Linked DNA regions of Arabidopsis thaliana. The protein of the gene in region 1 interacts with the protein of each later gene in a biochemical or structural test. Each region holds a gene or a part of one and is shown on either strand. Other genes may lie near its edges.

Region 1 (5,560 bases):
AAAAAGAAAAAGACTGTGGTGTGTTGGAAAGCTACTGTGTGAGTCAGAGAATTTATAAAAGATGTAAATGTGTAGGAGAGAAATTACGTGACTATTTCCATTTTACTTGGATATTTTTTTTTTCCTTTTAGCCACTAGTGGCCGGTTACTGTATAGTAGTACTGTGTGATAGTACCTTTTAATTTCGGCGAATACCCACCAATGAAGAAAATGACTTAAACGTTGCAACTTGCAAGGCTACTTGGAAACTGCAGATTTTGTGTAATACACTATTCCCACATATCTAGTACTATTTCTGAATTGTCACACATTTTCATTTAAGTAATTGATCTTATATCTCATTTTAAAAAAATAACTAAATTATGGAAATGATTGGAGTTATGTTCCAATGTTTGGTTGGAATCATAGAGATGATAATCACCACAACAACATCATCAGATCCTTGATGATTCCTTGACTCCTTTGGTTTTGGCTAGCTCAAGTGGTATCCTCTCGGCTACATGTCCAAATCTTAACAATAATTTATTGTTCCGGTAAGGTTTACTTCAATATGGTATTATAAGAGAGCATCGAATTCGGATAATAATTAGTTCCGAGTTTATTTTTTTTTCATATCCGAATTTATTTTTTTTATGGTGACATTTTTTCTTCTGACTATGGATTTATTAGATTGTCAGTATGATTATGGTTTTTAATATTATAGACTTGTGAGACATGAATAAACATGGTTTTAAAAAATAATATGATGGAATTTCTGTTAAAAAATAAAGACTTAGTTTTAAATTTATGTTAAAATGAAGAATTTGGACGGATGATCATGAGATTATAATATGAAAATATAAAATGTTCATTTCACGAATCATAATTTTGTGTCCGAATTTAAGAAATAAAAGTTAACGTCAAAATGGGCCAAAGACTATGTTCTTGTGGATGCGTGAAACTGTCTTGGAGAGATTGCAACATCATCACACGATCTCCTATGTTGCGACAAATCACTCCTAACCGTCCACAATAACCAAAAAATATAATCATGACATTAACTCCTTTCTAACATTCCAAGATTTGTTAAACAAATTACTACTTAAGATGTGACTAATGGAAATTAAATAACTTAAAGTAATTGAAAGGGAAGGAAAAATGATGGTGCATGAAAAAATTCTTGAAATAATTTATTTGGCTAGCCTCTGATATATGTGAATCTAAATTATACATATATACGCAAGAAACTTGAAAATTATGCAATCACATTGACATTATCAATTTAAACTTAAAAATTGCTATTTAGTAATAATCAGTGGTTAAGCTTACACAAAACTAAATAAATAAAACATGACAAAAATTCTCGACCGTGAATTTTAACAAATGGGCCAAGAAAAATGTCGTCCAACGGTACGTTCATGAGGATGCACGACGACAACAGAAACACTTGTGTAAGCATAGGACCCACTAAAAGAGTCCCAGTTTCCCAAAACCAACAAATCTCAGCCGTCGATTCTTAGCCACTCGGACCAAAACGTACGCATCAAAATATCGTCCTCCCAAAGTATAACCTCAAGATTCTCACATATTCTCAGGCAATGCCATTGAGTATTTGAGTATTGACCCTCATCATGTGATTGAAAATCGCCACTCAACAACTATAACAACGCCACGTGTCACTCGTGTCAGTCCAAGCCTCCACTCTTCTTCTTCTCTACATAACTGACCATTCTTCTCCTCTGCTCTCTTCACTTTCTCATCTCCTCCATTGGCTCTTATTTCCTCAGTTGCCGTGAAAATCTGTGAGCTTTTTCTTCTGTTTAATGTAAAATTTGTCAAAGATTGTATCTTTCTATTTAAAGTATCGATTTTGATTGTTCATCTGTTGAATCCAGGTAAACGGGTAGTTCATAATGGCAACTGTGACTGCTTCTTCTAACTTTGTGTCAAGAACTTCACTTTTCAACAATCATGGTGCTTCTTCATGCTCTGATGTCGCTCAGATTACCTTAAAAGGCCAATCCTTGACTCATTGTGGGTTAAGGTCATTCAACATGGTGGATAACCTTCAGAGGAGATCTCAAGCTAAACCTGTTTCTGCTAAATCCTCAAAGAGATCTTCTAAAGTTAAGACTGCTGGTAAGATTGTGTGTGAGAAAGGAATGTCTGTGATTTTTATTGGAGCTGAAGTTGGTCCATGGAGTAAAACTGGTGGTCTTGGTGATGTTCTCGGTGGTCTACCTCCAGCTCTTGCTGTAAGTTCATATAAACATTAGCTTGATTTGAGGTCTTTACTTGTTTTTTGATGAACCTACATGTTATGACTTTTGTTAGGCTAGAGGCCACCGTGTGATGACAATTTGTCCTCGGTATGACCAATATAAAGATGCTTGGGACACTTGTGTTGTGGTTCAGGTATAATTCTCTCAAGTTTCTTTTGCTCTGTATGGACCTTGATGAATTTTGGATGCTTAGGTAAGTCATCTTGGAATGTTATTTGATGCAGATCAAAGTTGGGGATAAAGTTGAGAATGTTCGTTTCTTCCATTGCTACAAACGAGGAGTTGATCGTGTCTTTGTTGACCATCCAATCTTTCTTGCTAAGGTCTGTTTATATTGGTTAGATAATCACAAGGGTGTATTGTACTTTGAGCTAATGAGGAATGGTAATAATGCAGGTTGTGGGCAAAACAGGATCCAAAATCTATGGTCCTATAACTGGAGTAGACTACAATGACAACCAACTCCGGTTCAGTTTGTTGTGTCAGGTAACACTCTTTCCTCTTACTTCTGTAGTTACAGTTGTGTTGTTTCTGAATCGTGGGTTCTCATTTGATTGAAACATGTAGCCTACAGAGATTAAATTCATAAATAATGCAGAATCTGTGTTTGAATAGCGTACAAGCATGAGCAATAACTTGATTTACTTTGATCGTTGGTAGGCTGCTCTTGAGGCACCACAGGTTCTGAACCTGAACAGCAGCAAGTACTTCTCTGGACCATATGGTAAGAAAATGATTTCTCAATTCTTAATTAAAATGGTTTCTAAAAAATAAAACTTCAATTTTTGAAAAGTAACAAAGCCTATCTCTCTGATGTTATAGGTGAAGATGTAGTCTTTGTTGCCAATGACTGGCACACTGCTCTACTTCCATGTTACCTCAAATCTATGTATCAATCCCGCGGAGTCTACATGAATGCAAAGGTATAGATATAATTTTTGTTCCTTCATCATGTTAATTAGCTATTCATCTTAAAGTAGCAAACATTACCAAATCTTGAACTGAAACTCTAGCTTTGATACTTTTTACAATGAATATCAAAATATTTTACTTTTTTTTAGGTGGTCTTCTGCATTCACAACATAGCCTACCAGGGAAGATTTGCCTTTGATGACTATTCCCTTCTCAACTTGCCCATCAGCTTTAAAAGTTCTTTCGACTTCATGGACGGGTACTGGTTTCTCTGAAGAACAGATCATTACACCATTTTGTCTCATGTTTCAATCTTAATTTACTGTAACTTCTTGTTCCATTTTCAGGTATGAAAAGCCAGTAAAAGGACGGAAAATTAACTGGATGAAGGCTGCAATTCTGGAAGCTCACCGTGTCTTAACAGTTAGTCCATACTACGCTCAAGAACTCATCTCTGGAGTTGATAGAGGCGTGGAATTGCATAAATATCTTCGAATGAAAACAGTTTCCGGAATTATTAATGGAATGGATGTTCAAGAATGGAACCCGTCTACTGACAAGTACATCGATATCAAATACGATATTACCACTGTAAGATTTCTCTTGAAGATCAGTGCATTAGGACAGAAGAAGTTGCGGGAAATCTTTACCGATCTTGCTACTTGTTTTTACAGGTTACAGATGCTAAACCATTGATCAAAGAAGCACTTCAGGCTGCTGTTGGACTTCCCGTGGACAGGGATGTCCCGGTTATCGGTTTCATAGGGAGATTGGAGGAGCAGAAGGGTTCTGATATTCTAGTGGAAGCTATTTCCAAGTTCATGGGGCTCAATGTTCAGATGGTTATCCTTGTGAGTACACTAAGCAGTGAACTTGTGATCATAACGTCTTTAGGATCACAAAGTTATTGATTCTTGTCTGATGTTTTTCACAGGGGACTGGAAAGAAGAAGATGGAGGCTCAGATTCTTGAACTAGAAGAGAAGTTCCCAGGGAAGGCGGTTGGAGTGGCGAAATTCAACGTGCCATTGGCTCATATGATCACTGCTGGAGCTGACTTCATCATTGTCCCAAGCAGGTTTGAGCCGTGTGGTCTCATTCAGCTGCACGCAATGAGATATGGAACCGTCCCTATTGTGGCATCTACTGGTGGACTTGTGGACACTGTGAAAGATGGCTACACAGGTTTCCACATTGGAAGATTCAACGTCAAGGTAACTCAAAATCACCAGCTTTTCGCGCTTTTTCTACAACAGTTTCTTTCGACATGACAACAAATTGATCTAAAATGAGTTACCATTTTGCTTTGTTATATAGTGTGAAGTTGTGGATCCAGATGATGTGATAGCAACAGCAAAGGCTGTGACAAGAGCCGTTGCAGTATATGGAACATCCGCAATGCAAGAAATGGTCAAGAACTGCATGGACCAAGACTTCTCCTGGAAGGTCAGTGATTCAGTTCATTCTAAAGTTTGAAACTTTGTTTATATTGAGTTGTTGACATCAATCTTGATTTGATGTTATGCAGGGACCTGCGAGGTTGTGGGAGAAGGTACTATTGTCCCTTAATGTGGCGGGAAGTGAAGCCGGAACCGAGGGTGAAGAGATAGCTCCTCTGGCCAAGGAGAACGTAGCGACGCCGTGAGAATATGACTTTTGTTTTGTGTCAAAGTGGTTTGAAGAAAGCGTTGGGAAGTTAGGAGTAGGGAAGGTTGAGGAAAAGTAATGTATATTGGAAATGTTAGAGTCTAATATAATAATAAAAAAACTTTGTGAACACAATCAATCATATATAAGTTTATCATCACAATCAATAAAAAATGGTAGAATTTTACAGAATAGTTTCAATTTATTGTCACAATAATGTTTAACACATAAACACAATCAAACTAATAAGAAGATAAAATTTGAATGTAAGGAGGATATATGGAGGGAAAACGGTTAAGAAGAAGAAGAAACCGTTTCTTTTCTTGTTCGCTACGTCACAAATCTTGCTCAAATGCAAGATTCTTTACCTCTTTCACATTTCAGTTTAGATTTCTCGGGTTTATCTTCAAGTTTTGTGAATTGCTTAGGAGAGAAGTCAAAGAAGAGAGAAAGCCACGTCACTAAAACCCAAATCTTGGTCTAAAAACGATCTCACAAGTAAACAATCTCTGGTGATTTCTAGATGGACGACGAAGCCATGATCGCTGCCATTCAAGCTGGTGTTTGGTCAGAAGATCCTCTAACACAGCTTGCATGCACTACCGATATCAGGAAGCTTCTATCACAGAGTAAATCAAATCTATGGTTGACGGAAACTTACAGTTATTCTTTTTTGCTCTGCTGACGTGGAGGCGAAAACAGAGGCGACTAGGGTTTTTGCTTTCTCTTCACGCATGTTAC
Region 2 (4,814 bases), on another chromosome or scaffold:
CATCAGCAGAGCAGCTAAATCACACAACAAAGGTTAATGTAATTAAGTAAGCATTCCCATTTCAGGTCCCTAACTCAAAAACCTTACAACAAGAACAAACCAAGATAATTATCAGGATGAACCTAAGGAGATTCTACCAACAAGACTTGTAAGAAGATTTCTCACTAATGTTTGGTTCTCAAGTTTCAATTAAGATGCAAGGTACATACTAGAAGTATCAAAGATAAAAGGAACATAAGAGTTTAGAGGGTGAAATGAAAAACCTTAAAGCCGGTGAGATCAGGGACTACGTAATTCGGCAACTTATCTGGCTGCACAACATATCCTCCTGCAAAAACACCATGTCATAAAACTTAGGTAAAGATAAAATGAAGTCTCGAAAACAAATGCAAAATACATATACAATATGATGATCAGTTTTTTTTGCCAAAATGAAGTCTAGAAACAAATACAAAAACAGTATACTACACATGTACAATTCGAGTTAAGCTACCACATTTATTTGAGTGGAAAGCTAACTTCTTTAACTCAATTTTGGCAATTATGAATCTAGTAACACATGCAACCGATGATCAGTTCTTTGCCAAAATAGAGTTAAAGTTGTTAGCTTTCCTCCTAAACAACAATCTGGTATCTAAAGCTTTGCCTTAGATTTCATATATCTAATAAAAACACTCAATTATCAAAAACATTATGATGATCATCAATTGAGTTAAAGTTGTTAGCTTTCCCACCAAAAGAATCTGATATCGTAAGGCATGAAAACTAAACTGATAAAAGCTCTGCCTTAGGTTACATATATCTAATTCAAAACCAAGAACAACAAGATTCAATCACCAACTAACTAAACAAGTGTTAGATAGAAATGGATTGCAGCATGACAAGTGAAAACCAAACCAATAGTTGCAGTTTCAGTGAACCTTTCCTTGTTAGTAGTTTTGCCACAATTGAGTTAAAGTTGTTAGCTTTCCACTCAAAGAATCAATCTTAAGCCATGTAAATTCCTAACAATTAGTTCAAACAACAAATAACACAAGATTGCAATTATCAACTAAACTATAACAAGTGTTAGATAGAAATGAACTGATTCTCAAAATTAGGATGAAAGTTGGAACCTTTTCTCGTGTGGAAACCAGTAGGTTTGCAGTTTTTGCCCTTGTAAAAGTCTCTTGGAGCTCTTTTGGGAGAGAGAATGTCAAGAGAAGAAGATCTCTTTCTTCTGAATGATCTTCCAATCCCCATTAACAATCCTCCTATCGTCGTCATTCTCCACCAAATCTATCAATCTCAATCGATGGAATAACGGATCTATATCAACTATTGAGAAAAAAATACGGAGCTTGAGAAGAGAAGAGTGTGAAAATCTCAGAGAGGCCAAAAAATAGGGGGTTTGTTTAAGTGAGGTTAAAGGTTGAAGACAGTAAACGGTGTCGTTTGTTTTGGTGGAATTTGGAAAATTGTTTGTTTTCAGGAAAAATGTGACTCTTTGAAACTATAGGGACCATATTTGAAAATTAGTTCTTAGATTTACGCACGTGTTTTGTAGCCATTGATAAGAAAAACAAATTAGATTTTTTATTTTTGGTTCTGGGGTTTATCAGTGTTTCCAGCTTCTTCTTCTTCTTCACAGCTTTCTCGATATTTTTGAGAGTTTTTAACCAAATTAGACATTTTTAATCAATTTTTTTTTGTGTTGAGCAAGACGAAAAGAGTCTAATCCAATCATGGGTAAGTCGAAAAATCATTCCTTTTTTTAATTTTTTTTGGTTCACATTTCTGTTGAATTCAAGTTCTATAAAAGAACCCTAATGTTTAATTTAGGTATATATGTAAGATAAGTAGCATTTTGATTTATGTGAGACATTACTGAATTTTGATGATACAAGTTGAAGTTTTTAATTTTGTGAGTCTTTCTGATGCAGGATGTGTACCCAGAATTGAATTTGGTTGTTCAAGGTACAAAATTTCATATCTTTTTCTTATTCTAATTCACATTTTTGCTGATGTGAAACCAAACTTGTTATGATTCATCATTATAGTATTTTAAGTTTCTATTAGTTGAAGTGATTCTTCTTCTTCAACAGCCAAAGCCTTACTCTTTCATGGAACTTAAGAGCATGGAATTTGTGTAGATTGAACACAATCTCCCATTTCCAGAAACTTCCTTATCCTTTGGTAGCTTCTACTCGAAAACATTACAAGAACAGTTTGCTTTTGAAGAGATTTTTAGTTGGTGTTGGCACTGAGGAATCATCACTGTCAGAAGATTTACTAGATGAATCTCTTTCTCGACCTCTCACTAGTGATGAGGTTAAGCTTTATCTTCTTCTCCTGTTTATCTAAGCGTATGTGTTCTCAGATGATAAAGAAACTATGTTCTGTACCAACTAACAAACTCTCCATTTGGTTCTGTAGTTGAAGTCACTGCTCATTGATACAGAGAGATCAAAGCTTGTTAAAAAATTGAGTGAAGCTAATCAACAGAATCGGTTCCTCAAGCGTCAGGTGCTTGTGTTATATTTATACACTTACTTTAGTACCTCTATCTGTCCATTCTCTTAGATGATTTGAGAAACCTGCAACCTTATATCCTATTCTATTTAAGAAATTTAGTGTCTATCAGATTTTATATTATCACACTCTTGGAAAAATACTGAAAAACCTCCAAGGTTTAAGGGAGTTACATGTCTGTGATGTCACAGAAACATTTTCCTTCACTTCTCTTCTTTTTCTGTAAACCGGCATTGTATCAAATTGGAAGATGATGATGAATCATTTGCATACTTAAATACACTTTCCACTGTTCTTCATCTGTGTGTTTGATGAATCTTGTTTGAGATTTAATCCTCAATACTTATATTCTTGATGCTATTATACATCATCTTTTTTCTTTGTAAACAGACATCGTATCAAGGGACAAAACGAGTTATTTGACTTGTTTGTTGACTACTTGAACTCTTTTTGCAGCTTTAAAACACAGGAACATGAGATAACTAACATCAAAACTGAGCTTGCACTTATGGAGCTCGAAGTTCAGGTCTTTATTTCTACTTTTGATTTTTCAATGTCACGGTCTCACTATCTCATTGCCTTAAGCTGATTTGGTTTAGTTGTCATTATCCCATGTCTACTGCCAATCAAATACATATTTTTGTTGGTTATAATATTGGGAAATATTTAGCTTCAGATTTTTGTATGCACAAGCACATATGTATAGTTTCTTTAGTAGAAATGTTTCATGATATCACTTTCTGGAGGAAATAGGCTCTGGTGAAACTGGCGGAAGAAATAGCAAACCTTGGTATCCCACAAGGTTCTAGAAAAATCAGTGGAAAGTACATTCAATCGCACCTTCTCTCTCGTTTAGACGGTTCTTCTCATCCCCTCTTGGTTTCATCATTATTTAGGCGCTCATCAAATCCCTGGAATGATATACTAATTTTTTATTTTTTTCTCCCACTAAAGCTGTTCAAAAAAAGATGAAAGAACAAATAAAAGGTGTCGAGGCTGCACAGTCAAAGGAGGTTCATGTGTTCTGGATTGGCATGGCAGAGGTAGTGTAATAATCTCACATTATGCATTTTAACATTCTAAGCTTAATATATTATCCTCAAAATTAATCTCATTTGTTGATTATCTTCACATAAGAGTGTACAAGTAATGGGATCGTTCGATGGATGGAGCCAACGTGAGGATCTATCGCCTGAGTACTCAGCTTTATTCACCAAATTCTCCACAACGTTATTCCTTCGTCCCGGGCGGTACTATTTAAATTTTATTCTACTCTTATTCTTTTGCATTCAACATCAACTTTTAATGTTTGAAATTATTCGTGTTTTCAATCTCTTGTGAAATTTAGGTACGAGATGAAGTTCTTAGTGGATGGAGAATGGCAGATCTCACCCGAGTTTCCTACTTCAGGAGAAGGATTGATGGAGAACAATGTTTTAGTGGTGGAATAGCCACTCATCTTTCTGCATTACACCCGTAAACATTTAAGATTGGTGTGGATGAGATTGTAGACAATAGAATCTGAGTATTAGATACAAGGAATAGTATAATAGGTGGCAGGAGTCATTTGGATTTCTTATCTTTTGTTCACACAAAATCCAATCAATTTTTCCCATCTCTCAAAAGTTCTCTTGGTTTTGATTTCGTTTCATTGTTGTTTTGGCATTAGCTTTGAATCCATAGAGAGAAGATAGGTAGGTTCCATGTACATCAGAAATTTCTTGGTTTGTAAGAAAGAGATATTGGAAACAGAAGAATGAAGAAGAGTTTAGAAATAATGTACTAAACCAGAACTAGTGGTTTCAGGTTATCCCGGAAAACGAGTGTGTGAATCTATAGAGACTTTATTATCAGTAGACTCTGGTCCATTCAGTATATTCCGGTCAAGAGACATTTAAATGAACTAGGGAGATAACCGGGTTTTGATTAACATTTTGGAATTAACCAATTTGGTTCAGTTGTGGACCACATCCAACCCTAGTGAAAATCAATAAAAGTCATCAAGTGTAATAGCCAAAAATTGATGGACTTTTTATGAGTCTTACTTAACAATAATATGAGGCCAAAATTTGTATTTTCATTATTACTCCAATGTACAAATTTGTCAATATCAAAAATCTCAACAAGGGAAAAGACAAAAGGAAGGATCTAAATGTAACCTTCTATTTACGAAGTTAATCTTAGTCAACTTATTGTGACACCAAACCAAATGGTCCCTAGTCAATTTAGACATATTCAAGACTCTTGTCACAAGTTTCATGTCTACTTGTGAGAAGAAGTGAAGTACTTGATCTTCTGTCGAA

What was found.
Region 2: the proteins of GBSS1 (region 1) and AT5G39790 form a complex in vitro, tested with the Arabidopsis thaliana proteins (one study listed by BioGRID).

Annotation. Positions count from the first base shown.
Region 1 is NC_003070.9:11,919,839-11,925,398, reverse strand, and holds GBSS1 (UDP-Glycosyltransferase superfamily protein), read left to right. Parts: upstream 1-1,532; 5' UTR 1,533-1,781; intron 1,782-1,874; 5' UTR 1,875-1,892; coding exon 1,893-2,234; intron 2,235-2,313; coding exon 2,314-2,394; intron 2,395-2,485; coding exon 2,486-2,584; intron 2,585-2,657; coding exon 2,658-2,747; intron 2,748-2,921; coding exon 2,922-2,985; intron 2,986-3,083; coding exon 3,084-3,184; intron 3,185-3,322; coding exon 3,323-3,432; intron 3,433-3,520; coding exon 3,521-3,764; intron 3,765-3,847; coding exon 3,848-4,024; intron 4,025-4,107; coding exon 4,108-4,386; intron 4,387-4,489; coding exon 4,490-4,618; intron 4,619-4,700; coding exon 4,701-4,817; 3' UTR 4,818-5,009; downstream 5,010-5,560. UniProt on the Arabidopsis thaliana protein: Required for the synthesis of amylose. Destroyed as it is released from the starch granules during the night. The circadian expression is controlled by CCA1 and LHY transcription factors.
Region 2 is NC_003076.8:15,932,032-15,936,845, reverse strand, and holds AT5G39790 (PROTEIN TARGETING TO STARCH (PTST)), read left to right. Parts: upstream 1-1,575; 5' UTR 1,576-1,724; coding exon 1,725-1,728; intron 1,729-1,922; coding exon 1,923-1,956; intron 1,957-2,084; coding exon 2,085-2,310; intron 2,311-2,415; coding exon 2,416-2,513; intron 2,514-2,967; coding exon 2,968-3,037; intron 3,038-3,264; coding exon 3,265-3,370; coding exon of another isoform or gene 3,371-3,465; coding exon 3,466-3,554; intron 3,555-3,648; coding exon 3,649-3,761; intron 3,762-3,859; coding exon 3,860-3,962; 3' UTR 3,963-4,289; downstream 4,290-4,814. Other genes in the region: AT5G39800 (Mitochondrial ribosomal protein L27), read right to left, coding at 264-328, 1,116-1,266; AT5G39785 (hypothetical protein (DUF1666)), read right to left, coding at 4,631-4,814. UniProt on the Arabidopsis thaliana protein: Involved in targeting GBSS1 to the starch granule.